Mytilus edulis: one gene and its partner. The protein of the gene in region 1 binds, or shares a complex with, the protein of each later gene. Links are inferred from orthologs where the notes say so. Each region holds a gene or a part of one and is shown on either strand. Other genes may lie near its edges. The genes, in order: vacuolar protein sorting-associated protein 33A-like and vacuolar protein sorting-associated protein 8 homolog.

What was found.
Region 2: vacuolar protein sorting-associated protein 33A-like (region 1) and vacuolar protein sorting-associated protein 8 homolog share a complex: the UniProt entries of both Drosophila melanogaster proteins name them as parts of the class C core vacuole/endosome tethering (CORVET) complex. The link is inferred for Mytilus edulis from reciprocal best matches to the Drosophila melanogaster genes car and Vps8.

The regions. Positions count from the first base shown.
Region 1 is NC_092349.1:42,680,839-42,697,872, forward strand, and holds the start of vacuolar protein sorting-associated protein 33A-like, read right to left. Parts: upstream 8,478-17,034; 5' UTR 8,462-8,477; coding exon 8,348-8,461; intron 6,373-8,347; coding exon 6,307-6,372; intron 5,414-6,306; coding exon 5,286-5,413; intron 4,400-5,285; coding exon 4,315-4,399; intron 2,408-4,314; coding exon 2,303-2,407; intron 1,662-2,302; coding exon 1,545-1,661; intron 1,005-1,544; coding exon 830-1,004; intron 1-829. Other genes in the region: small G protein signaling modulator 1-like, read left to right, coding at 12,543-12,621, 12,747-12,790. UniProt on the Drosophila melanogaster protein: Core component of the class C core vacuole/endosome tethering (CORVET) and the homotypic fusion and vacuole protein sorting (HOPS) tethering complexes involved in endo-lysosomal vesicle trafficking and lysosome biogenesis.
Region 2 is NC_092357.1:11,535,869-11,552,908, reverse strand, and holds the start of vacuolar protein sorting-associated protein 8 homolog, read left to right. Parts: upstream 1-9,961; 5' UTR 9,962-10,146; coding exon 10,147-10,206; intron 10,207-11,653; exon of another isoform or gene 11,654-11,679; coding exon of another isoform or gene 11,680-12,202; intron 12,203-16,077; coding exon of another isoform or gene 16,078-16,260; intron 16,261-16,890; coding exon of another isoform or gene 16,891-17,040. Other genes in the region: zinc finger protein 572-like, read right to left, coding at 3,999-5,390; uncharacterized protein, read left to right, coding at 11,680-12,202, 16,078-16,260, 16,891-17,040. UniProt on the Drosophila melanogaster protein: Part of the class C core vacuole/endosome tethering (CORVET) complex involved in endo-lysosomal vesicle trafficking and lysosome biogenesis by facilitating docking and fusion of endosomal vesicles.

The DNA of each region.
Region 1 (17,034 bases):
TGACCATTCTACTTCAAAGGGTGTTAATAATTGATTGGATTTAAACAATTGTCCATAGATTACATTTGGGGTTAATTTTTAAAACAAAAACAAAAACTCCTGCTAATTATCGATCATGTGAACTCTATTGGGCTTGGGGTGATCTGTATTAATGTTAATATTATAGGGCATTTACATATGGTTAAAGAATTTTATACATCAATCATTTGTTTTTAATATTTTATGAAAAGAGCATTTACTTTTAATTATTATATTTTCTCACTTTCAACACTTCTGTCCAGCAATTAACCCGTACAGGGCCCCACCATTACTGCTTTCCATATACGAAACTAACAAGTTGTTACTTCAGTGCCCAACTGCATATCAACATCAATTCATTACACATCTATTGTTAAAATAATTATAAACTGTGAAGTATTGTTTAAAAGTTTATTTTAATCAAAGCCTAACAATGTACATTGTACATATGGGTCATAGAAACAAATCTATTTTTAGAACAGGTTATTTTCGTATCCCAGGTAAAGGAAAGTCTGAATGCAAATAAACTAAAACTAAATGTGTTTATAATCTTTATTTAAAGAAACAAAATAAAATAACACATATGACACTATAGTAGACATAAAAAATTTATTAGAATAAATCAACATTCAGTATATTGTATGTGGATTACAGATGTTCATCTTTCTTCAGGGATTTCTTTTACTGATCTGTTCTATCGATGTTATTTGACTCTGTCATTTGGCATTTCGGATATAAGCATACTCCGCTTTATTGCATAATTTTGTCTGACAAATAGGCTATGCAAATAACCGGAATCTACTGTACTTACTATTATTAATATCAAATATTTCATCTATTAATCCCTCATATGTTAGCTGTGACAACAATGGGGTCAGAAGGTCAACATTACGATCCAGAATCAATAGATGATCTATCTGTGGTGTTATGTTGGGTTCCTGCCCACAAAGTTCTCGTCTCATTCTCAACATCATGTCCACTACTTGCTGTAATTAATAAATTGATGAGATAAGTGAGAATTCTATCAATAAAAAAGAATGTGTCAGGGAACATGTATACCAATTTTTCAAGTTAAAAAGGGGCATAACTTTATACAGTAAATGATTCACAACCCTATTTCAAAATCCTGTTTTCAAGTTGTAGTTTTAGCATTGTATATGAGTTTTTTAAAATTTGGACACAACATACTTAAGCAAGAGTGTGGAAACAAAAACATTTGCAATTGGATGGACAGACAAAGATAAAGTAATATGTCCTCAACATTTTGTTGTGGGGGGCCTGGGGGTATACACATTTTGATAATCTTTTTGAATTACAGTGTTGAAGAAATAACTACAAAAACATTATCAGACATTACTTGGCACATGAACAGTTATCCCCCCTTGCTAAGTAAAAAAACATTCCACTGTAGTTAAAAGGGATGATTTGAAATTTGTGCAGGATATCAAACTTTTCACCCTTCTTTATATAGCATGAAAAGGGAGAAATTCAACACTTCACAAAAATTATATATCTACTCAAAATACCTTAGCACAGTCTCCTTTCCCACAAATATTAGGTATAACACCATAAAGCGTCTGTAGTGTCATCAGGGACTGAGCAGCATAATGCATGCTGGTAAAATCATTCTCAAGGTAACATTCCTGTGAATCAAAAGAAGTCAATTTAGTCTGTAGTTGCAGAAATGTGAGTGCATTATATTTATATACTGTGATTGTTGAACATGGACAAAAATGTAAAATCCTTTATTGTGATTTCAGGAAATTTGGTATGCAAGTAGTGCTATCATAACTTAAAATGTATGTTTTTATTTTTACAAAAACTCATCTCATTTAAATTTTCACAATAACAAAAACAAGCAAAAATTTCTGAACTTACTTCAATCTGTTTATGTTTTAATAACAAGAGTAACCAATCAATTTACATGAACTTCAACATACTATATTTTTACCTTATAATGTTACTAGTATGTGTAAAATGAGATCAAATATGAAGAAATGGACCATTTATAAAGTAATGTATTGTAAATCAACCAATTAACTTATATCTTGGAAAACAATACAAAATATTGAAATACAAACTACAAAAATAGCATGTTTTTTTCTCTTTGTTAAAGCAGTGTGGTGACCTATAATTGCATACTTTCTGGTCATCTGAACTCTGTTTGATAGTTATCTCATTGGCAGCCAAATACCATCTCTCCTTCTTTAATATTGTTTAATAAACAACTTTTCTGATATTTCTTTACACAAATGTATAACATTGATACTTCAAAATTAGTTACCTTAAAAGAATTATCCATTTCCATTGACATCAGGTCATAATCAAAAGGAATTAAACTCAGACTAAATTCTTCAATATTTGCCAGGGTACCGTATACACCTAAATCCTAAAAAAAAAAAAAAAAAAAAAAAAATAAAAGCAGTACTGTATAGGCCAATCAAAATTAATTGCTAGATTTTCATCCCCGCCCGCCCCTCTGAAATCGTCCCGCCCCGATTTTTTTTATTTAATAAAAATACGATTTCCGGATTTTGTTCATGTCCGTTACCGGGAACCATCGATAATTTCGTTTCATTCAAAACTTCCAGTTTCAAATTTCGTTTTTGTGTTTCATGTTTCTTCGAGTAATCTAACGAAAATGATTAAGTCGACACATGCTGCTGCTCTATGATGACAACATCGTCTATCGAGAATAGAGCTTGATAACGAGAAGGGCATGAAATATTTAATATACAAGTAAAACGCCTTGTCCTTGAACGCAAATTGCGGTAGTCACATAAAGTGAATCGAAAACCGTGTTGCTTTTTTTATTTATACAATGACTTTGTGTTAGGAAATTTGGACTGTGAATCGTAGAACAAATTGGTTAAAAAAACATGAATTGATTAAACAAATTGACACAAGCACGAACTTGTTTGATTTATGACCGTATATTGAGAGAAAACAGCAAACACCCTCTGTAACTGTCCCAATACCCTCAATTTAGTCATTAAACAACAATTACTTTTTGGTTAAATTCATGTTTTACATCATAATTACTTTCAACACTGAGTTTACATTTTATTCTGTACTCATAATACTTGTGTTGCATACAATTATACCAATACATTTTATTGATTTTATGGGGACTACAAACCATTGCTTAGAAAGCAAAATAAATTTGGTGTAGGTATAACCCAACTGAAGAGAGCATTTCTCTTCTTTTTGATGTATATACTATACATAGGTTTCTAAAGCGACAATTACATGTATAACAGTGGTTGCCAATCAGGGATTTTTATTTAAGAGTTTAAAAGATAGTGTAGAATTCCTTATACAGCATGTATATACATTATACAAGCTTGCTTTCCACTTGCATATACCCCGGGATATGAAGAACTCGTGACGAGGGTTTCATATGAAATAAAATTTAAAAAATAAAATCCTCCCACCCGCCCCGTTTTTTTCAAAAATTTGGATGAAAATCTACTAATTAATTTTAGTTGGCCATATATAAAGCAATATAAAACTCAAATAAAATTGTTTTCCACACAAAAAATTCACAAAAAAAACATTTGTTTAAATTTGGCTTGTGAATTCAAAACTAGAATCCCATTCTGAGTTCAGTTGGATGAAAAATACAAACAAAGTGATATAAAAAACCTCAGTCAAATCTAAATATTTCATTGTCCTTTACATTCTTTCCTCATTTCTGTGACTAATCATCAAGTATATATTTAACATCAGTACTGTTAAACCATTTACAGTATCTTTCAGTGGTTTTCACGAAATTTCTTGGGCTAAACCTAGCCTGCAGGTTTTTTTTTTTGCACTTTGTTATCCCAGATATTTATTCTTTGTAAATTTCAAAGTTGGTCACAGGAATATTTTCATAACTTTATCTAATCATAAAAAAAAAGTGAGAAAAAACACATGTGAAATAACTACTTATTCCCCTTATATCACTGGTCAGAAAGTCTCCCTGTTTTAATAGGATTCATGCACAGTTGTTCTTTGGGTACATTTGATTGTCTTTTTGTTTTGTTTTTCTCTCCTTTTCTTCAATTTGAAAACAGTAATTGTTTGTAATAGCACTTTACAAATTTGTACACTAACTATGGGTCATAAATAGTTGTGTGTGTATTTGATTTAGGCAATATTACTTGGGATGTTGGTTGTAGGTGGTATTTAAGAAGTCCCTGCCTACCCTACAATATCCATCTTAATAATTGCATAATCTTCAAAAACAGATGCTGAGAGTCTTGGAAAAACTTTTGTTAGTCAATTGGTCTAGCTGAGCTAAATCATTCATACCTTTAATCTTTTCTCACAAAGAAGGCTTTTTCTTGGGACAAATATGATGTGATATTCTTTCCTAAATCCTCCTTTTTGTTCTTCCCTGTAAATACATGTATAAAATACATACAAATTCCATTCATTTAATTAACACTGCAAAAGTTTTCAACTATCAAAATGTAGTTTATTTTGTCATGTTTATCCTGAACTACATGTACAAGCACACGTAAACATTTTTTTAAAAATTATTTCCTACACATTCTAAAGCTTAAATCAAGCTCAAAATGGAGCTTAAAATCTGGATTAGGCATTATTAAAATGTAGCTTGAATGTGCAACATGTTGTATATCCTTTTTAAACGAAATATCATACATCTTCAAGTACAAATTGTAGTATAAAAACAAGAAGATAGACTGTGTACCAGAGCAACATGTTAAGAGGATTTTTAACATGTTAGAACACATGCAAAGAATCAACAGGAAAACATATACAGTGGAGTCCCCGGTGTACGCGCGGCCGGTGATACCGCTCATTCGCTGATTTCGTTATATCAACACAGTAACGCAAATAAAATTGTTCTTGTTATTGTTTTAGCATTCCGAAGATAAAAAAGAATAAAATTGATAAGTTCCAGATTGAAATAGTAACACTAGCTTTGCATACAAATTACTCTGTTCCAAATCATACAGTTTTTGGCCTTACTTATAAAACATTGAAAGACAAACTACTCAGTGTTTGTAGTTTGTTGCTATATATCATATTTGTTTTTCAATTGTTGTTTTATAAACAAATACAGCCTTTAGTTTTCTAGTTTGCATAGTTTTATATTTGTCATTTTTAGGCCTTTTACAGCTTACAATGCACTAAAGTTTTGTTCATTGATGGAAGCCGTACAGTGGCCAATAATTGCTTTTATCTGTGTCATTTGAACTCTGGTGGATAGTTGTCTCATTGGAAATCATACCCCATTTTCTTATTTCTATACTGACTGTAATAAATTCTGTGCTATGAGATCCATGAGTTTCAATCTTGGTCTGGCTATAAATATAATATTCTGTACATTACTTGGTGGTAGACCAGAAGTCTGCAGTGGAAACATCTTCTCAACTTCATGTTCCTATTAATAGAAACATAAAAATATATATCGAAATTGTTAACAAAAAAAGTAAAACCGTTCTCTTAAAAATTGTATAATGGTAGATATTTTGCAGAACCATAAAGTTTTTGCTTCCCTTTATGCTAAACTCTTAATACACTATCACTTATAGCAACATATGTAAAGATGTCATGCAAAATCTAAACTTCTTGGTTTAAATTTGTTAGATATCAATTAGAAAGAATTCAATTAAACAACAGCAAAATAGCATTTCATTCCACTTGCACAATTTTTGTGTGAGGCACAGAAACTAATAATCAATGTCGGTTAAAAGCTCATCAGAGCTTATGATCAATGTTTTAGTTTGCATACTTTTCAGACTCTAAATAAAGCTTTTATCTTATTATTTATTACCAATATGATGCAATAAAAGCAAAATATGCATATTGTTCCTGTGTATTTTTTTCCATGCATAAATCTTTAAATCTTTAATCACCAACATTATTTTAGATATAAAATGTCATTGAAATATGGAACATTGAATGTTTTCATATCTGTATGTATTTTGGTAATAATTGAAAATGTGAAACAGGGTGATTATGAATGACTTGTGACAACAATCTTTCTTTGTCATTTGTTGCTGATAATAATTTTGATTTCCATTTATTGTTTTGTACATAAACATGATCTGGCTGTTGGTTTTCTCATTTGAATTGTTTTTCATTTATCATTTCAAAGCCTTTTATTTCTTGCTAGTAGGTTGGCTTGTAGTTACTAACTTCTATGTCATTTGTTTACTGTAAATGAGGTGGATGGTTTTAAAAGCCAAAATACATATATAGAAATATCAAGAAATCAAAGGAAATAAAAAAAGTTATTTTCTGAACCAAAATTCATTGTATTACTAAATTTACCTTCAGTAAAGAGTATTCTGCTATTAAACCAAAAGGTCCAGTCAAATCATTATCCCATACTAATGCCTGAAAAATTAATCACTGTTATTAAATAAATCCTAGACAATATAACTTCCTATTCTTGTACCAAAGAAGAGTAAATTTAAATTGAATACCTGCTACACTTCCATTGAAGTCATAAATGTACATGTTTAGAGTCTACAAATTAAAGGAACATTAGTTTTAATTCATATTCAACATTTCAAGTACTCACTGTAAAAACATTTGTTTTTGAAACACTAACCCAGTATCTTTATTGTCTGAATACAATAATTGTGCTCAAAATTTTTATGATCGAATTACAAGAACTTTAAGAAGTCAAATGTTGTTGTGTCAAAATATCAGTTGTCAGCTGCTCTATGGTGGGGTTGTTGTCTCTTTGGCACATTCCCAATTTCCATTCTCAATTTCATTAAAGTTATTTGGAAAAAAACATAATGATTTTCTGACCTAAACATGTGAAGATGATCTACCATGTTATTTCTATTCTTTTTGGCCTCCATAGCAATCTCTAAAAAAGGTAGAGATTGGTTTTGGGGAAACAGACAATATGTATTCTATTCTTGGCCTTTATCAGTTTCAGATCTGTTTTAAAAACAATCTAAGTTTGAAAATATCAATACCATAATGAAACAAATACATGTGAGAAATCAGTGAAGGGTTATACTTATACAAGTAATTTATATTCACTTGTAGATGTCAGATGTATGCCATTATTTGATATATACTTGTGTTATAAAGTAAATCTGTAAAATTTATATTTTTTTTCAAGATTTGAATAATCTCCCCTTCTCCAAAAGTGTACCTGTATATATACAATGATATGAGTACATTGAAGAAATTTTATTTTGAAACCCCTAAAAAGTTCTAAAGTTAAAAACTGGCCTGAAACAAACAATTGGACTAGTAATATGTACTAACTAATAAAAAATGAAGACATTTATTTTATATTTGCAATACATACATTTATTTATACATACAATTTATTTACTGTAATTTTTTTTATTTACAATGACAATTTCTACAAATCAAGTACATGAAGTAAGTGGTTTTTAAAGTCCGACACATTTTTGATGAACGAAATTGCGTCCGCCACGGTTACGTGTACATACAGAAGTTCTTAGTATTTAAGTTACAGTTAGCAAACTTTGCTTTTGATGTATCAATTTGGGTCAAGTTGCATAGCTGTAGTGTATGAAATTTATGTCTTGATTTTGTTTAAGTTTGACGGTTTAAAACGCATCCCAATTTTTTAAGTTTTTCACCCTAAACAAAATTGGTTCAAAGTATAATGACAGTAATAAGAGTAGGTGTGCAGTTAAATACTTTAAAAAAGAGAAACCATTGAACTATATGTTTCGCCTTTGACACTCCTAATCTTGAGTATTATCTTTAAGAACATCAAAACCATTAATACGTAAAACTATTCAAGTTAAACACCATTTGAATGTTGATTTATAATATTAAATTTATCAGTATTACAAGTATTGTTTAGTACATATGAAAGAATTAAGCAAAACAACTATAGAAGATTTAAGTTTAATAAATCTAGCGTACATTGCTGTTTTTCATGTAACAATAACGTAATGTAACCGTAGCCTCAGTAATTATTGTTACATTCGTAATTAATCGGTTCCACACCCAACTTTGCATTCCGGCAATTAGTCTCCAATGTAACAATAATACTTTTATTATTGTTACATTTCCATGTAACCGTAGCCAGTGCCTAGAGATTTTAATCTGACATAAGGAAAAATGTGAAAACATGAATTGAAAAAGAAGTTTTTTTAGGGGTCGCCCAAAACTAAGACCTTCAACTTAAGAAATAGGTTTCCTAAACCATTAACACCACTATAGATTGACTTATTTGGATGGTAGTATATAGCCTTATCTGGTGCTGATCTGTAAATATATTATTTGGTTTCCGCCCCCTTAGCTTACTCTTATGTCCATTGGGGTAACTAGAATAAACCACACATATATTGATTATGAGTCTGCTTGCCTTAGAGCCAAGACATTTGTCAAGAGCTTCTAAAAGCTCACGTCTGTAAAAATCTCTCAATAAACTCAGGTTTATTTTCCCACTTGACAGGTGAGAACCTCCAGTCGAAGCCATGATGGAATAAATGTGATTACCACAAACAGAAAAGTTTTAATGTAAGAACGCAACGTCCCAATTTGCTAATGTTGCTATCTTCTTCTATTGCATGGATGTCCTTTCACAATCATGGAACATAAAATACAGCTGTGTGTGTCTATTGAAACGCATCACACAATTCTATTTTAGTCATAAATCTAAAAGGACTCTTTTAAACAGTACAAATTAGGGGTTGGGGTTGGGGGGGGGGGGGGGGGGGTATTTTTTGTTAAATATAATGTTAATTCCCTGGTAAAAGAATCTCTAAAAACAAACATAAATTTACATTCTGCAAGAATTTATTCTTGGTACTCATTTGAAGATAATTACTCTAATATTAATGTACCTTTTAAACAATCTAAAAACGATTTAAAATGTAATATCAAAAAGTGTGATATAGTAGTTTCAGTTCAGATGAATATGAAAAAATACTTTAAATAAACTTTCAAAAATGGATTCCTCATCTAAACTTTGTCTATAAGAGAAATTAAAAAATAATTTTGAGTCTGAGGTATGATTTAAATTCAACTAAATAATTTTGTCATAGGCAGTTACTCTCAAAATTTAGACTTAGTGATGATTCCCTAGATATTGAATTGAGAAGGTATACGGAACATTCCAAGAACACAAAGATTATGTAAAAGTGTGGAGTCCTAGATGACGAATTCCGTTTCTTTTTGTAATGTGACACTACTAACATATCATTTCGTTCTAATCTGTTGCAAATCTAAAAGAGTATGTACCATTATTTCAAAGTCTTGATGCATTTAATAAACTAAAACACATTCTAAACCACATCCCTGAACTTGTTTGTCATATTGGAGTCTTCATTAAGCAGTCTTTAGAACTGAGGGGGTCAGACCCATGTCAAACAAGCTTATGATGGTTTACGTTTTTTTACATAAATTTATAATTGAACTATTAAAATTATTGTATTACATTGTATTGCAAGCGTATTGTATATAATTGTTTGATTGTATTGCCTGACCCTTATGGGTGTAATTTAGCAATACAGATTATATATAATTATACAAGGCAGTCTCTGATTATATGTATAAAGTTAGAGTCTATGAGGAGACTTTTTTACAATAAAAGTTCAGCGGGAATAAACTTAAAATTCAAAATAAAATGTTCTTGCGTTTACCAGTTTGTGCTGTATTTCTGTTACCCAATAAAGCCATGCAGTGTTGTCATTTTCGCGATATTTTTTTTTAAACATTGTCATAAAGCAGGGGGTTTGGCTAGCCATTTAACCAGGTTCAACCCACCATTTTTCTGAAAATGTCCTGTACCAAATCAGGAATATGGCAGTTGTTATCAAATAGTTTGGCTTTTTTGTGCTTTCTTTTTTGCACTTCAGTGTCCTTTGTTTTTCTCTAGTTGATGTGTTTCCCTCAGTTTTGGTTTGTATTCCGGATTTGTTTTTTCTCAATCGATATATGACTTTTGAACACCAGTATACTACTTTTGCCTTTTTTTTTTATCATGTTATACACTTACAGTATATACGTAAAGCGTGAAGAATGTCCTGTCTATAGAAATAAGAGTCCTGATCATGTGGTGTGAGTGACAATGCACGGAGACAACCTTTTATTCAACTCACAATGTGTAAAATTACACAGTAATAGTTCAAAGTACGGCCTTCAACACGGAGCCTTGGCTCACACCAAACAGCAAGCTATAAGAAAACCTCAATATCACTAGTGTAAAGCAATTCAAGCAGGAAACCCAACGGTCTTATCTATATAAAAAGGAGGAACGATAAGTACTTATGAACCACATAAAAAGGGATATACTTATTCAAAAATATATAACTGTTCAGTAGCCACTTTATATATAATGTCAATTTATAGATTATCTCCTTGTATGCTATATTCGAGTCCTAGCTTTTAAAAGTCTGAATCAGGGAGTATGAAATTTGTAACATACACTTGCGGAAAGATTACGGATTTTGATAATGTCCTTCTTCTGGAATATTACACAGTTGTTGCCGGTGAACAGTTGATAACAAGCTGTACATTCCAAGTCTATGGTCCAATTATATTTATTGTATGATATTTTCAGCTCTCGAAAGGCTTATTGTCTTTACTTATATAGAGCTGGACAGTCTAGAAAGAAATTAATCTTATCTTCCTTGTCTAATTTACAGCAGTTTGGGTGCTTCCTGGGATGATTTTCCCTGGCCAACCAACATGACCAACATGGCTTGAAATAAAGCATAAGGGGCAAATGTAATGTATGTCTTTTATCTTATAGATATAGAAATAAGTCAGATAGATAAAATCGTTAGTCAACTCCTAAGAGGAGTTATTGCTATATTCAAAGACAATTTTCACTTTTGTGCGTTTTTGCCATCTTGAAAATTTTAATACATAAACAGAAAAATGTAGATAAAAAAAGAGGACACACAATTTAACATGGTCGGATTTTTTTAATCAAGTCCTATAAAAGTCATTGTCCTTATTTTATCATTATGCCTTTTTTTTTTAAGCATATGCCTTTTCCAGTACGGTGACCCCATGTTTTTATTTTCTTATTTTATTTCAAATACGAAAGCTTTTATCGAATTCTTATCTAGAAAACATTGATCAATTCATTTCAAAACTATGAGAAAAAATACAGGTATTTTACAAGAGGATAAAAATAATATATAATTTCTACTAACAACAATAATCTTTTATGTGATACAGACTGTTTATGAAATATTACAATGTCAATTATTACAAGTTATGTTGGCTATTTCAAAAGCTTTTACCTACAGCCTAAAGGGTATAAGATTTAATGGCGATATTATTTAGATCCGAATACAAGGATAGTCAGGCTTTAATTTCTACATTCTTCTTTATTGTAAAGCAGGATTTTCTGGTCTTTTCCATCAAAAGCTATGTTAGATAATATGATACAAGTGATTGGCAACTCCATTTATGAATAATGACCATATCTTACACACTCCTCAGTTGGATATGGTTTAAAAGGTCTTAAATAAACGTTTCTTTTAGTATATAGATATTATGAATGATGATAATTATAAACGTTCAAAATTGATATCATGGTCTGATATTGAAATTTGAAAGAAGACGCAGATAAAATTGAGTCGACTATGTTGTTATGGTTCCTATTTCTGTCTTGTAACGTTAAGGGTTGATAATAAAAAAAAAATGTATGATTTTATAAACCATATCAAATCAAATAAAGTTTGCACTAGCTTTTAAAGCTTGAAGACAAGCTGGGTGAGATGTTTTTTTTTTATCCTATTCTATTGATATTGAGCAAAAAACAATATAGCTCTGTAATTTTTATTCCCCATCCCTGTTATTATTCTACTATTCTAGTCAGTGCCAGGTGTGTAAAGACTAACACCTTTCATTTATAGGCGGCATTTATATACACTTTAAGTTACCGTGAAAATTAATGTAAGCTTTTTATATATATGTACAATTATATGATAAAGAATTTTACTTAAATAAAAATTAAGCATATTGAATGGTGCAATTAATTTACTTTCTTACATTACTTTGAAATAACTTTGTTAATGGTTCTTTGCTAAACTTTTTGTTGGGAGACGTTATTATTTTATTAATGTTAGAAAAATAAAACACAAAATCTTCAAAATTTTGTTTTTAAGAATATTAATTTTAGACAATTAAAATAATATTTAATCCTTAATGATCAAATATATTTGTAATTTATCAATATCTATTGGAAATAACTGAAAAGTAAACCGGCTTTCAATTTAGGATCCCTGTATTTCCGGTGCATTTGTTTACCAACAAATTAGCTTCAAAAACAGACGAAAGCAACACCCTTTACCAGTCTACATACCAAAGAACAAAATTAAAGCACACATGACCTATAAACCATAAAAAAAAATATATCTGTAATGGCACTTCCGGTGGTCTTGAATACAAAATGATGCGAATATGATAATTGGTTCCTTGTTTAATCAATATTCATGGATGTTGATTATCTGTGGTAACTGTTCCGAGCATCTTCAATACACATTGTACTGTGGGCTAGTACTATAGGAGTTCAGGGGCTTATGATTTAGTATGAAATATTAATGTTACATCTGGGACTCTTGGACTCTTCTGAGCATTCAGCAGACCTGAAGCTCAAAATGGAAGGCCAGAACCCAACAGGTGAGGTTTATTGGTTAAACTTTTGATTTATTATATTATGATTTCAATTTTCAGCCAGTATGCTTTTTTATTAGAATCCTTTTTATTAAAATAAAGCATTTATATTTTCATTTAATTTTTTGCAGAATCAGAAAACCGACAGAATCTGTTAAGAGCTGTCAAGAAAGAGGTTAGTTGCTATATATGTTGTTAACTTTGTGTAACCACAAATAACATCCCTTTGATATTGATACAAAAATCAATAGGATAATTTATGTTTAATGTGTCACTGGAGATGTAATTACAGTTTTCAATTGATTAATTCTGGGACAACAATCATAATACCCTGATTTTCAAAGATAGCATAAAAGAAAACGGAACGTTAATTAAAGATATTTTTTTTACAAAGATTTTTCCTTTGATATCAAACAGATATAAAAATGATATGTTTAATCTTGGACCAATAGATTCATGTTTAACACCAGATTTAGCATCTTAAATAAACAGTTATATTTTTATCAGGCCTGTCAACTTTTTCATAACACAAATTTTTTGTGAATTTTTTATTGGACAAAAAATTGTATTAGCTCACACATCAATTAAGCAGCAAGCAAATCTAAATTTTCATAGCACGTACTTCATTCCATACAGGGGTAATAATATATATAACATTTTGCAATGATTGATTGATAGATTGTAGTCCAGTAGCAAATATTTCATGCATAATTAAGACAAAGCAAATTAATTCATTTATTTGTGTTATAGTCTTTATAGTGGGTCTCATTGGGGTCTAAGTGTGACGCGAGATTGCCAATTTTTTGTAAGCGGGACACGTAAAAGTCAAATTATTGTGTCGTGAAAACGGGAAATGAGGTCTAGTGGGACCTGGGAAATGACAATTGCTTACATACATAGTGTAAGCGGGATATGGGAAACTGACCAAACAGTAAGCAGGATCCGGGATGGGAACCCCCCCCATGAGACCCCCTTTATATTGAAAAAGTCTTTAGTTTTTTTGCTGTAAAGTCATTGTGTCGGTTATTTTCTTCATATAAATAGTGAATTGTTGATAATAAGAGATAGCTGTACAAAATGTAACTTATATACAGAATGATTTATAAGGGTAATGCTGTCATTTTAGTGATACTTTTAATATTGTTGTATTAAAGCATAAGGTTTGGCTAGCCACAAAACCAGGTTCAATGCACCAATTATTCTTAAAATGTCCTGTACCAAGTCAGGAAAGGGCAATTGTTATCTTATATAGATATAGGAAGATGTGGTGTGAGTGCCAATAAGACAACTCTCCATCCAAATAACAATTTATAAAAGTAAACCATTATAGGTCAATGTACGGCCTTCAACACAGAGCCTCATAGTTATAGTTCATTTCTGTGTGTGTTGCAATATTGTTTTTTTTTTTTTGTTGCACTTCAGTGTTTCTGTTGTATCACTTAAAGGATCTACTCTGGACATTTCAAGCTTGACACATAATGTGTAAATATTTGGTCTATTGTTGTAGAAATTATACAGATTTGTATGGTTGAATACTGAACACCTAACTCTAATTGTGACATGGTTCAGTTGCTGTCTTAAATATAAAGTCCTTACATCTGTTTCATGTATTTGTAATTAAAGTGCCCATTCTTTCAGCATGTTCAGCTGAAAAATTCCCATGTGACATGTGCATGTGATATGTCCCAAACATTTTTTAAAAGAGAAGGTAACCTTTGCATGTTATTTGCATTCTTGATTGATTGATTGATTGATTGTTGGTGGTTTAAAGCCACTTTTTAAGTACATGTACCATTTTGGGCTGTTTCTTGGCAGCCAGTTTTTAGTGGTGGAGAAAGCTGAACGTTCTGGAGAAAACCACTGACCTTTGATAGGAAACTGACAATCATTTAATTTAAGATTGGAGTCAAGTGCACCAGCGTGGTCAGGGTTCAAACTCACAACCTCAGTGTTGACTGGCTGACAACTTGACCACCAAGGCCCATTTTGCACAGAGTTTTCTACTAAGTCTTGAAAAAATGTTGCCTGCTCTTTGGCATGTTTGGTCGGGATGTTGTCTCTTTATCATATTCCCATTTCCATTTTCAATATTACTTGTTAATAAGAACAAGTAAGTCCATCTATTATGTACATGTATGAGGGGTAAAATTCATGTTTTATTTTTTTATATTTTTGTTTTATATGTTATCTGCTCTTTGGTCGGGTTTCTGTCTCTTTGACATATTCTATATTTCCACTCACATTTTCATTTCAAGTTAAACCCTCTAACCATGTTGCTATCAATTGTTATTTGATTCAAAGATAATCTATATATATTTCACCTGCAGAAATACCAGAGTCAATTTTAGAATTGCTAGAATTTGATGATAAATAAAAAGTGGAGGCTGAATTCATGACATGGAAATGTCAACTGTTTTATTAAAAGATCAACTGATATTTTTAATATAGATTGAATGCCTTCTTTTAGCTCACCTGGCTTGAATGGCCATGTGAACATGCGCAATCACTTTGTGTCCATTTTCTGTCTGTGTGTTGTAAACTTTTTTTTTTAAATCTGCTCAATGGGAATGAAGGGTTGATACCAAAGTTTGTTTGCTTCATCTGTAGAATGTCAACTATAAAGTTTGTGATTTTGTCCATGTTGATCAATCAGCATGGCTGCCATGTCTAAGAATAGAACATAGGGAACAAACTGAACATGCTTCATATTTGGCTAATGTTTAAAACTGTAGGATTTAGAGAAGAAATTAAACAGGTGATAAGCACAACAATTTTTATTATAAACCCTGTATAATTTGAAAAAATCTGTCATGCTACATTGTATATTGGAGTTATTGACCCTAAAATTTTATTTATTTTAACTTTGTTTGCATTTTCTTGCTGTTGTTTCAAAAAAAAAGTAACTATAGATTGGCTATTTTATAAGTGATCTAAAAAAAATCACCACAATAAGATGTATTCACTGAGAGATTATTCTAACTAGTTATAGCCCTGGGATATCGACTTTATAGTGTTTCTGATCCTTCATAAAATTGAGAATGGAAATGGGGAATGTGTCAAAGAGACAACAACCTAACCATCATGACTATAGAGCAGACAACAGCCGAAGGCTACCAATGGGTCTTCAATTCAGCTAGAAACTCCCACACCCAGAGGCGTCCTTCAGCTGGCCCCTAAACAAATATGTATACAAGTTCAGTGATAATGGATGTCATACTAAACTCTGAATAATACACAAGAAACTTAAATTAAAAATCATACAAGACTAACAAAGGCCAGAGGCTCCTGCCTTGGGACAGGTGCAAAATTGTAGCTGGGTTAAACATGATTTTTGAGATCTCAACCCTCCCCCTATACCTCTAGCCAATGTAGAAAAAACAAACGCTCAACAATACAGAATGTTCCTTCTTCATCCTTCAGGTTCCTCTTTCAATATTTTAGGGCCTCAGGTGGCGAAGTGGTCTAAGTAGTTCATCTAAAGTGTGCACTATGAGACTAACCCTTCCCTACTGGTTGCAAGGTGTGTTTGACTCTGATCTTAATTGCATGACTTTGATAACAGTTTTCCTACTGAACTTCAACAGTTCTTTCCATGTTCTTGGTTTGCTCCATAAATTAAAATGGCAGCAATGAAATAGCTATGGGTGCTGAGAGAGATGTTGAAGACAAACTATCAATCAGTCAATCATATTCAATACTTATCAATCCCATTTACTAAATTGACTGTTAATTACTATTCCCATGAGATATTTGTTGTAAATGATCAATTAATTCCCAATCCACCATTGAACCAGTCTTGTTATTTTAGGTAAAACCAATTAATTGAGAACCTGAAATTATCGATTATTTAAAAAAAATATATCCAATAAAAGAGAAATCTTGCTTTGTTGCACTTTCTCTTTGAAATTCAGAAGACAGTTTTTTTGTACAATGTATAGCATTATGTCAATTAAATATGTCATATTGAAAAATATTTCATTATCTGGCTAGTAATAATTTAGCAAAAAAAACAGACTTCAATGAAGGAAAATCAGGGTTTCATCTCTTAGAAAAAAAACAGGTTTGTCATAATATTTTTAGTTGTTTTTTTTAACTACCAAAGTGTAGATCGAATATATGGTAGGTAGTGAAATGAAGCATCTTTTTCCAATTTGATGATTTCTGGTTAGAATCTCAAAGAAGACTGTAAGATTAACATCATCCCCAGTTTTTGGTGGGGTTAGTGTTTCTTTGTTTTTATCCCCCTGCCATGAGGGGAATAGATAATAAAGTGTTACCCTTGACAATCTGTCTGTCTTTCCATCTTTTTATCCTTCTGTCTTTCCGTAATGTCATATTTTTAGTTACAAGCTTGAGGGGGATGATATGTGTTCCATGATGACACAATCTTCTTCTTTTTCTTTCTTTTTCTTTATTAAA
Region 2 (17,040 bases), on another chromosome or scaffold:
TAAAAGTATTCGGACGACGACACCAACGTGATAGCAATATACGACGAAATTTTTTTCAAATTTTGCGGTCGTATAAAAAAAAGAACAAAAAAACAAACAATTTACCAAAAAACAAGGAAGAAAACTAGAAACTGAGCAAAACAAACCCCTAATTAAACCCTTGCTTGATCTTAGATACTCTGAAATGGTGGTAATCAGATCCTACTGCACATGTGGCAGCTGTCGTTCAGATAATGGTAAACATCCATACAATTGTTCAAAGTATAATAAAAATTGGCTATTTAAAGTCCATTAACAAAATAAATGATTATGTTGGACAAGATCATGTAAATGCAACATGATCATTAACAATGCTTGGTACCAGACTGACATGGCACTAGCTTATAAAGTAATAGTTCACAGGAAGGCATGCCTACCTACACAGACACACTATGCATATCATGCCTCCTCCAAGCCATCATGTCCTTACTCTTTCTCTTTGATTCTTGGTGCATATGCAAGAATCAGCCTGGACTCGTTTTAAATCTAATACCTCTCACACCAATATCCAACTCAGAATAAAAAAGAAAATCAATCAGTTTTTCCTCCAATATGGCAGTCAAAGAAAATAACTCCAATTCAAATTACGTCAAAGAAAATCTGTTTAATCATGTTAATGTCAATGAATGTACTTGTTCTATACATGCATATGTAACTGGTATAACATTATAAATATGTATATAAATATAGTACACAGACAGTAAAACAAATAAATATCACAGTGTTACAATATATTAAAGGGTACAGTTGTGAGAAAACTTGGTGGGCACATGTGGTTGAACCCAAATTATCACAGACAAATGACAAATCTACTTAATTATATTATAGCTTGATAAATTCAATTTATCATTTCTAATAAATATTTTCTTCAACATGTTCAAAAATGTACAATCAGTTAAATATCTTGACACATGTGAATTCAGTCAAAATTTGTATACAATTATAGCGAACCCTATGATAGTTTTCCATAGATTCACCTGTAAGTTACCTGTCGATTTAAACTTTTGGCAGTTCTATTGTCCCATCTAACAAATACAACAGGTATTGTTCTCTGTATAGTTCATTCACCAGGACCTTTAAATTTCTTCTAGGAGAAATATATCACTCATTGATTAATTTACCTGATCAAAAAATTATCTGTTTTTTTATTGAAATACTTCTATAAACTCACATAAACTGTATGCAATATTGTATTTATTCAATATATTATTAATATATTTTCAATCTGTTCAATATAAAATCTGATTTAATAATAAAAAGTTTATTTTAGACACATTTTTTAGTATTTTCCAATGAATTTGCATGTTTTTGTTATTGTTAATTTATAGACTATGTTTATGAAGACCTTAATTTAAAAATAATAATATTCAAATTTTTATTTATCAAACACACAAAAATATTTATTGAATATTTGATCAGAAATCAACTTTTAATTTTTAAATCATTATTAATATTGAACACATTAAAAACTAGTTTTTGGTATTGAATAAATACAACACCACATGCAGTTTTGTGAGTCCTTTCTTAGTATTGGTATAAGTATTTTTTCATCATTGACAGTTCAATTTTTTGTTCAGGTATATTAATCAATGAGTGATATATTTCTCCTAGAAGAAATTTAAAGGTCCTGGTGAATAAACTATACAGAGAACAATACCTGTTGTATTTGTTAGATGGGACAATAGAACTGCCAAAAGTTTAAATCGACAGGTAACTTGCAGGTGAATCTATGGAAAACTATCATAGGGTTCGCTATAACATTTTCAATTACTTCTATTTCATATATTTGAAGCAATATGACAATGATTATGATGATAATGGATGTCTGCTTTGAACTTCCAAGTTAATATGCATATTCAGTACAACCACAAAATTTGAAAGGGTGGTGTTTCTCTTTTAATTTTCAGCACCACCTCCAAATTTATCAGCTAGCTAGCTAGTGACTATCCCTTGATTCGTCAACAGAATACATTAGCATTTCTGCAATTTTAATTATAAACAATGATAAAAAGTTATAGTTTACAAATAATTTATAAGTGAATTAATATTCATAAATTTTATATATTTAAGTTAAAAAAGTATTTCATTTATGATGTTCATGATGTTAATCATTTTGTTAATTGGCATATTATACATGTTATACATGTTATATGCTGGAGTGTTAATTCATTAAATTAATATGATTAAGGAACAGTATTTGACAATTTATTGTACCATGTATACCATGAGATTAAACAACTTACTTTAAAAAAATCGATTGTTACATCATGTACATATACATAATCGAATGCTTAGCCTAATGAATAAACATCAATTTTTTATCAGAGTCCAATGTTTCGTCTCATTAATTCAACAAAGAAACTGATTGCGCAAAGATCTTAAGTATTTGGGAAGGGTTCAAAAATTGCTCCTTGGGGGCTTGTAAATGACCAGTGATCTGAAGATAACAGACATTCATTGTCATAATGAAATTACACTTAAAAGATTAGTAAAGACATCTGCGAAGGGCAGACAATTTAAAATTTATCATTGCAAAGAAATTCTAAGAATTCAAGAAAAAAAAAGATAGGATGACTTTTTCATATATATATAAGTAAAAATATCTGAATGTCTAACATTCTAAGGGACATAACTATTACTAATTCATTATTTTTACCTGTACAAGTAAATAAACATTTGATAAAATTCAATCCTACGAATTTACTTACATAAGCATGATAAGTATATATATCAATATTACTTCTTTATTTTAATAAAAACTACTTGTTCAAGTAGGACCCCTGACTGATTGTAATGATTAATTGATCATGTTGATTGAATTACAAATTTCAACTCAATAAAAGCCATATTTTTGTACGACTGATCATAATTTATTACCACAGACATATATATTAACTCAATCAACTCATTTAAAATTGCAAACACTCTTTATATTAATTAGTTATCATTCAGTGTTCTACCCAGAAATTTTGGATAGCATCACATTTTGCGTAAATAAAAATTACTGTATTTTTTTTAATTTCGTTTGTCGCGTCGCGTTGATGCTCTATTTCTTTAATGTTTTAGTTTATATTGTTCAATTCATAACTGAGAATACAATTAAACTATAACCACAAGAACTGATGTTTCAGTTTATGTTTTCTTTTTTCATTTATAGTTACAGAATTACATTGATATGGTGGATCAAGTTAGATAAGCAAATATAAACTCAATTGAGATGTAAAAAGAGTTAGGATAGATACATGTACATGAGCTACAACTTATCAAAATTGGTTACTACATGTATAAATAAACTTGATCAACACAATAAATTGATTAAATTGATAAAACATAGTAGCTATCATGAATATTGAATAAGATAGATATGATTGTGATGCTTAAAAATCAGATGAGACAGTTGAAAAAATTGATCAACTCTAACAAATTGTATTTCCTTGCTCAATGTTGCTATTGTGATAAAATGTTCAACGATTGATCACGACAGAAACGATTGTGAGTTTTGAAAACAGAATGAGACAGTAGATTAAATCTATCAATTTTTAAACAAATCATTTTTTGACATCATTGAACATATTAATTACTCATGTTACTATTGCAAACCAGACGAGACAGTTGATTCAATTTAATCAATATTGTCACAGTAAGTGAATTGAGTACATACACATGATACAGTAACATACATATACAGATATATGAGTGTCAAAATCCTAACAACAATTGATTGCTCTTATTCCTATTATAACAGTATAAAATTGACTAAATAATTGATTGCAATTTCTGTAAAAATTCAATTCAATCAGTTGTTGAATACCATGGATTTTACTAACCCTATACCGATCCGTAGGGGGTTAGAAGGGAACCATATAACTTATAATAAGTATTCTTTTAAACAAGAGGCTAAATGCGCAACTAATTTGACAAATTGAATCTGTAAGTAACTATACTGTATTCCTTTCCATTTACTCCCCCTTTAACCCACACTCCTCCCTATTTACCTGTGCATCTGGTATCCCATCCTCCCCATTCCCTAACCCTGATGTTGTAGCAACAATAGATGTTATCTGATCAATGTGAATTTTCCTATGCATTTCATAATTGCTCAAAGATCTGAAACTTTCTTTACAAAACTCGCATTTAAATTGAAGTTTATTGGAGTGTGTATTCATGTGAAATAAAACATCTGCTTTTTTACTGAACGTCTTGTCACAAATATCACACTTGTAATGAAGTTCTCCATTATATGTTCTGATATGCCTATTCAAAGCCCTATTATCAATAAAACCCTTTTTACAAATTGGACAAATACAGAGTTTCTCCCCTTTGTGTTGTTTTACATGCTTTTGCATGCTCCTGTTATCTATAAATCCTTGATCACACATGTAGCATTTAAATGGCGTTTCACCTGTGTGTATTCTTATGTGGCGCTGCAAATCATAATTATCACGGAATTTCTTCTCGCAGATGCCACAAGTGAATGGTTTTGGATCAAATGGAATCACGTCTTTCTGATGCCACTTTTTGTGTCGCACTAAATTATATGAATCTCTATAGCATTTATCACATTCATCACATTTAAATATCGGCCCCTCTGCAGTATGTGTTCTTAGATGACGTTGAAGATGAGCACTACGTTTAAATTTTTTGTCACATAAAGAACATTCATAACGTCTTTCCACATGCTTTAACATCTCTTCTGTTAAATTCTGATACTTTTTTACTAAATCTTTTTCAGCATTTCCATTAACATTTATGACTTGAGAATCTGTTTGAAATTTTGTATAATTTTCTCTCAATTCATTTTCAAGTTTTCTTTCATCAAATTGATGTTGAATTTTACCAACTTTTAAAGAATGAGCTTCAAATAGGTTACTTCCCTTTGAAGAAAGAGAGGGATGATAATCCTCTAAATTTGTATGTGTGACATCGCCAGGATTTGATGTTGATATACTGGTATCACAGGGTGGATGTATAATTCCAGACTGGTATACAGTGTCAAAATTAATTCCTTGATTGTTTATACTTTCAATTATAGCTGCTTTGAGGGACTCATTATCCCTGTCATCCAAAAGACTTTTAGGTTTGTGACTATTCTCTGAACTTTTTTTGTCGCAATAATTGCAAATATAAGTCTGTCCTTCAAGAAAGGGTCTCATATTTCTTGATGAAACTCTGGCCCATGGTAATATTTGAGAACAAACATAACAAGCAAAAATTTTGTCACAAACTGTGCTCACACAAAAAGAGCTTTCTCTTGAATCTTCTTCTGACTGGCGTTCTAATTTCAATTCATCACCCGGTAAAATGTACATTTCATTCGAACTATATTCCTCAAGATCTGAATTGGCATCCATGATAGAAAAAACATAAAAAAGTTGATTAATCTTCCAGACACATATTATCAGCTACCTGAAACAGAAAAAAGAGAAATTAGAAACATTTAATAAAGATTGATTAATTAATTGATTGATTGCTTGATGATTAATTATTTGATTGATTGCTTGGTGATTAATTAATTGATCGATTGCTTGGTGATTAATTAATTGATGGATTGTTTGGTGATTAATTAATTGATCGATTGTTTGACGATTAATTAATTGATTAATTTGCTTGGTGATTAATTAATTGATTGATTGCTTGGTGATTAATTAGTTGATCGATTGCTTGGTGATTAATTGTTTGATTAATAGCTTGGTGATTAATTAATTGATTGCTTGCTTGGTGATTAATTAATTGATTAATAGCTTGGTGATTAATTAATTAATCCATTGCTTGGGGATTAATTAATTAATCGATTGCTTGGTGATTGATTAATTGATCGATTGCTTGGTGATTCATTAATTGATCAATTGCTTGGTGATTCATTAATTGATCGATTGCTTGGTGATTAATTAATTGATTGATAGCTTGGTTATTAATTAATTGATTGATAGCTTGTTGATTAATTACAACACTATTGAGTATGTTGTGATGGCAAGATTTATTAGTTGGAGGATGTCTGAACACAAAGAGAGAACCACCATTATCTTTGACAGAAAACAAGCAACTGTAGTCAATTCAAATAGGATAGAATTAAAATGCACAATTTAGTTGATAAAGAAGATGAACCACTTGACCAACATACACCCAATTTACAATCAAAGAATTCAATAAGTTGGTAAAGGTGTTAGTCTGACATGTCTGAAGGTAACTTGAAAGTTTAATTTGCCACACATCATGCAGATTGTTTTTTTTACATTTTAAATTGTTTAAGAAACTAGTTATGTAGCATTTATTTCATTTAGACTTAAAATAACATGCAATAAAATTTTTGGTACAGAAAAATATTTCACAAAACTTTTATAGTTAAGAAATAATTCATGGGGGCTTACATATTGTGATTTTACCACAAGTTGGCCCTTTATGACAAATATCTGCATAAAGGGACAACCTGTGATATATTCAAGCCCCATGAATTATTTCTATTCTAATACGACAAATACAGCAACTGCTTTGGATCAAAGCTCTCTAGGTGAAGGCATTATATGCCGTTCCTTTAAATAAACGCACTATTAATTTGATGTAAAAGAACAGAGAAAACTGAATAAGTGATATGATGTAACTATTCACAATAACATATTTAGATAGTTTAAGATGAATCTAAATCATGTGAATGATAATTGTCATGATTGTACTTATATGTCTTTTATGTATACAAAAAATGGCTTAAATAATACATTTTAGCATCGTTTATTTACATTTCCTTGTTGTGATGATTTTCGGGTTTAAAAGCGTGTAATTTCCCGTAAAATGCTTATATTCTGACGTCATCTTTCTATGATGTCGGTTAGCTCATTCATAAAAAGGCAAATGACGTGGGAGTAAGATCGGAACAGCCCAAACAATAATATATTCATATTTTACCACTTAGACGCTGGTGTGTACTCAAAGCGTTTGAAGGACGTCATGTTCAGAAGGTATTTGTTATGCAGTCTGCACCGTTAGCCACTAAACCGATGCCCCAGACTAGTAAATATAGTTTCGGACTAGTGAAAATTTTCAAAATGTTAAATAGTCATATAGGGAAAAGTTTTGATATTTAGTATCCAGACTAGTAGATGAAAAAGTTTTTGGCGCAGACTGGTTATGCCGAAATAACTACTTCAATTGCCAAGTTGACTATCACTGGTGCTGGGGTAACTAGAATTCATAAATATAGAAGGGTTGTAATGAAGTAGCCTCATAACGAATAACCTTAAAAATTCTTGCTATTTGACGTTAACAGTAATTTTTGGTGCATGAACATAATTTATTTTCTTTGGTTACATCTTCTGACATCAGACTCGGATTTCTCTTGAACTGAATTTTAATGTGCGTATTGTTATGCGTTTACTTTACTTCATTGGTTAGAGGTATAGGGGGGAGGGTTGAGATCTCACAAACATGTTTAACCCTGCCGCATTTTGTGCCTGTCCCAAGTCAGGAGCCTCTGGCCTTTGTTAGTCTTGTATTATTTTAATTTTAGTTTCTTGTGTACAATTTGGAAATTAGTATGGCGTTCATTATCACTGGACTAGTATATATTTGTTTAGGGGCCAGCTGAAGGATGCCTCCGGGTGCGGGAATTTCTTGCTACATTGAAGACCTGTTGGTGACCCTCTGCTGTTGTTTTTTATTTGGTCGGGTTGTTGTCTCTTTGACACATTCCCCATTTTCATTCTCAATTTTATAAACATGAAAAAATGTACACCGAATGCATGTCGTTTCGTAACCTGGTCGTTTCGTACTTGGTCAATTCGTAACTCGTTAATTTGTAACTGAGACGTTTCGTACCTGGTGTAATTATATATGGTTATAAAGTGTTAGTTAAAATTAATAAGTTTAAATGAAGCACTTAAAGTTATTATTTATAAATGACAATTAAAATGATCAAATTGTTAATCTAATAAAACAATATTGTAATCATGGTAATGGTTTTTTAATTTAAAACTATCTTAAATTAAAAAGAAAAAAAAGTCACTAATAGTAAATAAGCTTGTGATGCATGTCATTTCTTAACCTCACTGGGTCGATTCGAAATTTAAGCTTGTGATCGGTCACAGTTTCATCCGAAGATTGGAAAATTGGATGTTAAGAACGCAATCTGACTTATCAAGTTCTGTCGAAACAAAGCTTCACAAGGTATATATCGCATGTACAATGGTGTAGGCGGGAGAAAAGTAAAGTCATTGCGACATTTTGGTCTCCAAATAGTGAAGAAATTTAAACCAGACTTTTACTTGAAAAACTGTACTTGTAAAGTGTAAAATTATGTGCAATCAATTATTTAATAAATAAATATAGATATATATATATGCACCATGATGTGTACATCAATAGGTCTTTTTATCATTTTTTTAAGTAACCTACCACTCATACTATTATTTTATCTTGATATAAGGTTACAAAACATATCAGGTACGAAACAACCTAGTAAGTTACGAATCGACTAGTTACGAAAGGACCAGGTTACAAAAACGACATGTACCCATTTTCCCAAAACAACGGTAATGAAAATTTAATATTTGAGACCTCTGATAAATCACGATAAGGATATTTTGACGAATTGCAATGAAATCTTGACCCATTTGAGGCTAACGACTAACAGAAGCTTAATATAACCTCGGGGGGGCCACTTGCTATATAATTAGTGGTAGGGATGAGCCGCTGGAATAGGTCACTTTTTCATGCTCTATGATATATATGAAAAGGGTGGGAAATTCAGATGAAATATATCAATAGGTTGATATTATCACTTGCTTGATTATATCATAAGTATCTGAAACTAATCAGATGTCCGTATTTATTCTTGATGCGGTTAAACCACAGTCGTAAATGCATCAGTTATTTGTCAAACCAATTAAACTCTATTTATTCTGATGTGGTATTTCCACTGATGCCCGTGATAGATGCAATAAATCCAACTATTTTGACATTTGCACCTAATTATCATTCAAGGGTTTGTATACATAAAACAAAATAACAATTATTTAAAGAAATTCCATTGTGACAGCGTCCTTTACGAGGGAACGGCAATGAAACTTTTTATCAGTTTTTAATTAATATTTAAACATGTAAAAATCAGTGAAGGTGTTACACTCTGGGGTGATATTACATTTATCTGACCATAGATGTAATACCAGGCAGATCTATGATCTGACCAAACGTCTTTTACATGTATTGTATTTTGGAATTGAGATATCTTCATAATGAAAGATGTAAAATGGCCGGGCAATAAGAAAAAAGTGTTTAAGATATGACGAATTTATTGGAAAAGAAGGTGATTTTATTGCAACTATTTTGCTTCCTAAGAAGAACGTGATGATGAGCGGTGAAAATATTGAAATATATCTATAGGTCTGTTTTTGGTAAATTAATATATGACAAGGTATATATTTTTTATTAACAAAATATATGAAAAGGGTGGGGTACTTGATGTCTCAGCTGCTCACCCCTACCAAAAAAAGTTTGAAGTGGCCCCCCCGAGAATATAACCATTGACGACTGACGGTACCCTTGTATCTATATATAGGTGCTGTGACAGTGTGAGTCACTGAGTGTTTTCAAAATTAGTTCTTCCTAATCGGCCAATGAACATATCCCAATCACTTATTCTTCAGGCAGAAACAAAACAAAAGGGACCAGTCCAAAACAGATAAATTTTGATTTTTAAACATTAAATCATTACCTTGATTCTAAATAATGTATCTGTATGCAACTTATGGTAAAAAAAAACACGGACAATATATATTGACATATTTGTAAGGACCTAATTATAAGTATGTTCCCATGAAAAACATATCGGAAGAGATATTCGAGGAAGGGGAGAGAAACAAAATGCAACATTTTTTCCAAATCAAATATTCGTTTAATACTATTGCCACGATCTCTTGTAGATCGTGTGCCGTGTGGCCGTGTATTTGTAAAATGTAAGATCAGATGATAATTACCTAAACACGTTGGTGTTTTAGCTGTCTGTTTCAAAATTTAAAATACTGTGATAATTCATTATGTGCGGAAGTGTGTCCGGGGAAGTTTCAATTTTTCCATCTTTCTACTACTTCCGGCTTTCAGATTCTCCTCCCAAAAGTTATGGACTCGGGTAGCTCAGAAAAATCTAGTCCTTCAGCACCAATAAATTTTGATATTGAGGTAATATATGGCACATGCTATGTGTGATATAGTCACGTATTATAGTGTGAAGTCTTCACAAGTAGGTCTTAATATTTAAGTAGATATAGGAAGATGTGGCATGAGCAACTTTTTTAATCATCTATAATATTAAAAATGCATATTTTATCGTCATGCACCAAAAATGACTGTAAACATCATTTGGCAAGAATTTTCACCGTTATTCGTTATGAAAGTATATTGTACACCCAATACCATCATTACTACTCTCTTATAGATATTTCCATTTGTACTTGCTACACTGCATGGTATTGACGAGTCATAGAAAAACTCCCAAATGCCATTACAACAATCAATTGAACTTTCATCAGTTCAATAGTGGATCCATACTATAAATCAAAGTGACAGGCATGACAGACTCAGTAGTTTATTTCTGAGGATGAAAATATTGTAAATATTAAAAAGAGGATGTGGTATGATTGCCAATGAGACAACTCTCCACAAGAGACTAAATAACTAAGAAATTAATAACAATAGGTCACTGTACGGCCTGTCCAAATGTAAAACAATTCAAAAGAGAAAACTAAGGGCCTAATTTATGAACGAAAAAAATAGTATGTAACACATTAACAGTCAGGGGACTTACTTAAATGAGTGATTTTCTAAATCACTGATTCAAGTAACATTAATTCCATCAATGTTGGAAGTAAGGTTGTCTTTCTTTAATAATCACCTATTTAAGTAGTACAAATTAATCACTTGAAGAAGTGATTTAATTCTATCGTAGCTTTAAATATAGAATACTAACATGACTAATGATCCAGGGACTAATTATGTTTCTAAAATTATCAGAAACAACATCTGTGTTGATAGGATGACCAAGTCATTTCAGGTGATGACCTTGTACTGAATCTAGGATAATGACATAAAAATCACTTGTTTAAGTATCATACCTCAATTTCCTTCCCAAAAGTCACTTCTTTAAGTTTTATTATTTTAATAACCCCCACTAATTTCAACACCCCCGAGCAGTGAATTTTTTATCGCGAACAGAAGAATTTTATTACATAATCTGAAAGATGAAACCTTGAACTTTACAGGAAAAATACTCCCACTGCTGGGAAAAATCTGTGAAGAAAGTATCAGTTCATTTAGTAAAGCCATTATTACTGCATTTTTTTCAACTAAAATAGAATTTACAGCAAACAGATAGCATTTTAAAAAGGCATAAACCTTGCTACTTAACGAGGCCCGATCTAGAACGCGTTTTTGAATATTGCGCAACTCGGGCATTTTTCGGTAGTTGGTTTAACGGTTATAACATAACACATAAAATAAATATAAACAATACCTTTTCTGATTATTTTAGGAACTAAAATGATAAAATAAATCAATTTTTGATCGTAGTTTATATTTTATTTAAATTTATACTGTTATTATTGTTTACGACATAGTTTCGCGCCATTTACGGCAATGTAAACTATATCAGACGACATGCCTAGCAGAAAGAAGAACGGTCGGTTTTTGAAAAACTGTCAGGCAGAGACTTACAACAACAGATTAGACAACATATCTAGACCCGATTTATCCACAACTGATTTTGATACACCATCTACACTCGATTTTGATACTACTTTTACACCCGATTTTGATACTACTTTTACGCCCGATTTTGATACATCTTTTACACCAGGTTCTTTCCAACATGATCACACGTATCAATCCTCTGCATCGTTTGATGAGATCAATGAGTTCTATTTTTCTGGAAAATTAAAGCCAATAGGTTATACCAGACATGTGATTGACATTCAAACCTTTTTTGATAATATGAGATGTTCCAGATGTGACATTACATTGAAGTTAAAAGATGGAATTGGAATTTTGCCTGCTGGTTTATGTGGTCACCTGATTGTTCGTTGTTATAACTGTAATGACTTTGTACGTGTTGCCATGGGCAAAACCCACAATGCATCCCATGGGCCAAGGATATTTGATGTCAACACCAAACTTGCAACTGGTAAGTGCAAAAATAAAATCTGCACACCCTGTATATTTATACTTTATATTCACATGTAGCATGTTTACCTAGTACCAATTCCTGGACTGCAAATAATTATGATGTCTTGCGAGTGCTGCCTTGTAGTAGCATTAGCCTACTCTTTTTCGAAATCTACAAGGGTGTCTTTAACGTGCAAGAGGAATCCATGACAAGTCGCCCCACTCCTAATCGCCCCACTTTTTCACCAACTCGCCCCACTTTAAAAAAAAAACGCCCCAACCTGGATTACCAAATCGCCCCACTTTTTAAAAAATCGCCCCACTTGTGAAATGTGTTAAATCCCGTTAATATTACTCCTGAAAACTTGCCCCACTGAATGGAAAACGATAAAATCTAGATTAATATATTATTAATATATTATTAACCAGGATGAATTTAGTAAAGCCAACTCGCCCCACTTATGGAAAAAGATGTTATCCTGTTGTATATGAGTTAAATTCCGTGAATATTACTCCTGCGAACTCGCCCCTCTTATGGAAAACGATAATATCTAGATTAATATATTATTAACCAGGATGAATGTAGTAATGCCAACTCGCCCCACTTATGGAAAAAGATGTTATTCCGTGAATATTACTCCTGCCAACTCGCCCCACTTAAAAGAAAATGATAATAATCTAGATTTATATTATATTATTAACCAGGATGAATGTAGTAATGCCAACTCGCCCCACTTATGGAAAAAGATGTTATCCCGTTGTATATAAGTTAAATTCCGTGAATATTACTCCTGCCAACTCGCCCCACTTATGGAAAAAGATGTTATCCCGTTGTATATAAGTTAAATTCCGTGAATATTACTCCTGCCAACTCGCCCCACTTATGGAAAAAGATGTTATCCCGTTGTATATAAGTTAAATTCCGTGAATATTACTCCTGCCAACTCGCCCCACTTGTAGAAAAAGATGTTATCCCATTGTATATAAGTTAAATTCCATGAATATTACTCCTGCCAACTCGCCCCACTTATGGAAAAGGATGCTATCCCCTTGAAAACCTTATAGAAACTTCTTATATTATTCCCTTTTTTTAATATAGCAGTAAGAAGTGAGTATTAATATTTCCACTTATGAATAGTACAAGTATGAATAGAGTTAAAATAAATATTTAACATGATTAAACCAATTTCACATGTGGGACGATTTTTTAAAAAGTGGGGCGATTTGGTAATCCAGGTTGGGGCGTTTTTTTTTAAAGTGGGGCGAGTTGGTGAAAAAGTGGGGCGATTAGGTGTGGGGCGACTTGCCAGTGGGGCGACTTGTCCTGCTTCCGTGCAAGAGATATGACTCTCTCTTAACACGGGTCAGCCAATTTTCGTCCCCTTCCAACGGACTATCATCGTTACTTTAGTTTATTGCTTTTGGTTGGTTTTTTTCTGTCGGGCAAGAATGTAAAAAATACAAAATCAAATTTACAGAACCAAAATCTTACATCATCCAGTGAAAAGGTACTTTACACAGTAGAATAAAATGCTTCATTGAGCGCTTATCAAACCCTGACAATTGGGGCAATATTGGACACAATATTCCAGCTTGATACTGTCTGAATTGGGATTGTGATTAAATTTGTTGACATAATTATGATATAGCTTTCAGGGCCTTTTGAAGCTACATGTAACTATGCTGAATGGGCTTTGGCTCACTGTTGAAGGCTGTACAGTGACCTTTAGTTGTAAAAACTGTCTTGTGAACAGTTGTCTCATTGGCAATCATACCACATCTTCTTTTTTATATTCTGTACATGTACATTTTAAATTTATTCTGTACTATGCACCAAATACTCAGACTATTGCCCTGATCTTTTTTATGGAACTCTGGTTGTGGCAAACCAACATTTTTTTCAATGTGGCCCCACATCAAGGATATGATATAGACCCAGAAAGAAGTCTGTAACATGTATAAATTTTGAGCAATAACTATTAAGAAGTCATATTTTTTATTGATTTAATAAAATCTACCAACCCAACACGCATCGTTTTATAAGTTGTATTTCGTCACATTTCATTATCTTATGACACAAAAAAAATACATTGCATCCTGGACTCATCAAAATCTTTTGGGACTCACCATTTCTAAAAGTGATGAGTCCCAGGACTCACCATGAAAAATTCCTAGTGAGAACCCTGACTCTTATAACAAAACCTTTAACATCATGTGACGCAATGTGGATATATCCAAAATCAGTGAAAATTTGGTGTCAGAATGAGGCCACACTTAGAAATATTTTGGTTTGCCAAAACCCTTAGTACCCAATCTATGCATCGAGAAAGTGGGTATATTTGTTGCTACAATGTAGGTAGGCTATTTCTTTTCTTTTTCTTTTGGCTATGAGAAATTTAAGTATCAATGTTTATAACTTCTTCATGTCTATCTGAATAAAAATAAATATTTTCACATTAGGACAATAAAAGATTTTTAAGTAGGTAGTATTTTCAAGGAAGGTACATGTAGCATTAGGGCAAACAAACCTATTCTTTTTTTAGGGTCTGATATAGTCTCCTTGTTCTATATATAGAAAACTGTTTAACCAGACTTTTTATATTTATATTATTTGTGTATTGAAATCATTAAATTACTTTTGTTTCTTTTAAAAAAAAATAGCAATTAATTTGACAGATCAGTTGTCCAGATATATACTGATCATTAAATTGCTAATTGTTAATGAAAAAAACACCACATAAAAATTAAATTGTCTATCAGCTCAAGGCAAGATTTTAAGTAAAGATATAAATTAGTAAAAAGGGCTAAGTTAGCTTTTCTCATCACTTTGCGTCCATCATGGTTTTTACAAAAATCTTCTCCTCTGAAACTATACTAAGAAAAATTTAACCAAACTTGTCCACAGTCATCATGATCATTCCGTTTATCATTATGGTATCTTGTTAAAAAGATGTGTCCCATGACCCCCCCCCCCCCCCCATGAATCAAGATGGCAGCCATGGCTAAAAATACATAGTGTAAAATGCAGTTTTTTGGCTTATTTTTCTAATGAAATTGTTCATTACATGTAGGTCAAGTTCTATCTGCCCTTTAATTTTCAGACCATTCGGGCAACTTGTTGTTGGGCTGCTGCCCCGGAATTAGTAATTTTAGGAAAATTTTGCAGCCTTTGGTTATTATCTTTTGATGTCTCGAAATATCAATGTTATTTGTACAAGACTTACAACATGTAGAAGCAGATAGAAAGCGAGGCTGTGGCGAGAAAAAGTTTTTTTCCAGCCAAGTACAAATAAAATTTATATTTCGAAACAAGGTATGCTGTTTCACTATAAACTGCAACTCTTATAACTGATCTAATTGATGTATTTAGAGTAGAAACTATCATTTCTTACTTTTAAGCCAAAGGCGTAAAATTTCCGCCAACCTGTATAATTTATTGACGTCATCAATTAAACTGTACAGAAACCCATTGTCTACGTCATATACAAGGGGATATATACATGTACGATCACTGACTGTTTATCACAGATGAATTATAGTTGATGCAATTTGACTGCTCATATAGCACAGCTGCAGTATGTCACCTTATATTAGTACTGTTGTTCAAATTTTTAGTTTTAAAATATATATATGTTAGATATAGGAAGATGTGGTGTGAGTGCCAATGAGACAACTCTCCATCCAAATAACAATTTATAAAAGTAAACCATTATAGGTCAATGTACGGCCTTCAACTTGGAGCCAACGGTCTAATCTATATAAAAACGAGTAACGAGAAACATGTATAAATTACATAAACACATGATAACTACTGTACATCAGATTCCTATATGTACATAAATGTATTGACACATACAAATACTGCAATTTTTTAAATGAAAATTAATATTTCAGGTATGTACCACAGTGGAATAGGACCAATACAGCTTAATAATTTATTTACATCACTAAATTTGCCAAATGTCAGTGAAAGCCTGATAAGAAGACGTTGTGAAGAGGTTGGGCCTATTCTTGAAAATATAGCACAACAGTCCGTAGACAATGCTTTGTTTGAGGAGGGATTGCTAACAAAAACTTGTGAGTAAATCAATGATGACTCTTTAATGACAGATTTGTGTAAGCCTGATATTTTCTAGTATTGAATATCAATCTACAAAGGATTGAACCACTCTACACATGTCATGAATATTAATGTGAATGTGATTTGTTGTGTGAAAATTAGCACTATTTTGAATGAGCATGAAATGAAGTTTAAATCATAATTAACGCAACATAAGTTTTTATATGTCAGTCTTTAAAGAAAAATAGAACTTTATTCATATGATAAACAAGAGGCTAGCTAGATCTGGCTTTGTTCACATGTAATTTGTCTATTATTTGAGTTTGTTAACTTTCAAAAAACCTGCTATGAAACAATGAACACCAAACTAAGTCTTAATTATCCTTCTTTAGTACAAGGTTTGTGTTTTATTTTCTCTTTTGTAAAAAAAACATGGCTGCCATTGCTATAAATAAATCATAGGGGTGAAATGCAGATTTTGGCTTATAACTCTGAAACTAAAGCAATTAGTATATATTTGACATGGGGTCAAGATCTATATTCCCTTAAATTTTCAGGGGAATCAGACATTGCCTGACCTGTTGTAGGGTTGCTGTCCATATGTAGTGCTTTTATCTTTTAACTTGTCAATCATTTTTTCATTTCAGGTAATTTACAAGCCGATAATGACAGTGATGCAATTCATGCCATTGCTAGTGGGTCAGAAACTGCAACAAGCAGTAGTGGAATAGCTTCAACAGATAACACTAATCCTGTGTGTGGCCCTATTAGTGTAACTGGAATAACAGCATCAGCAG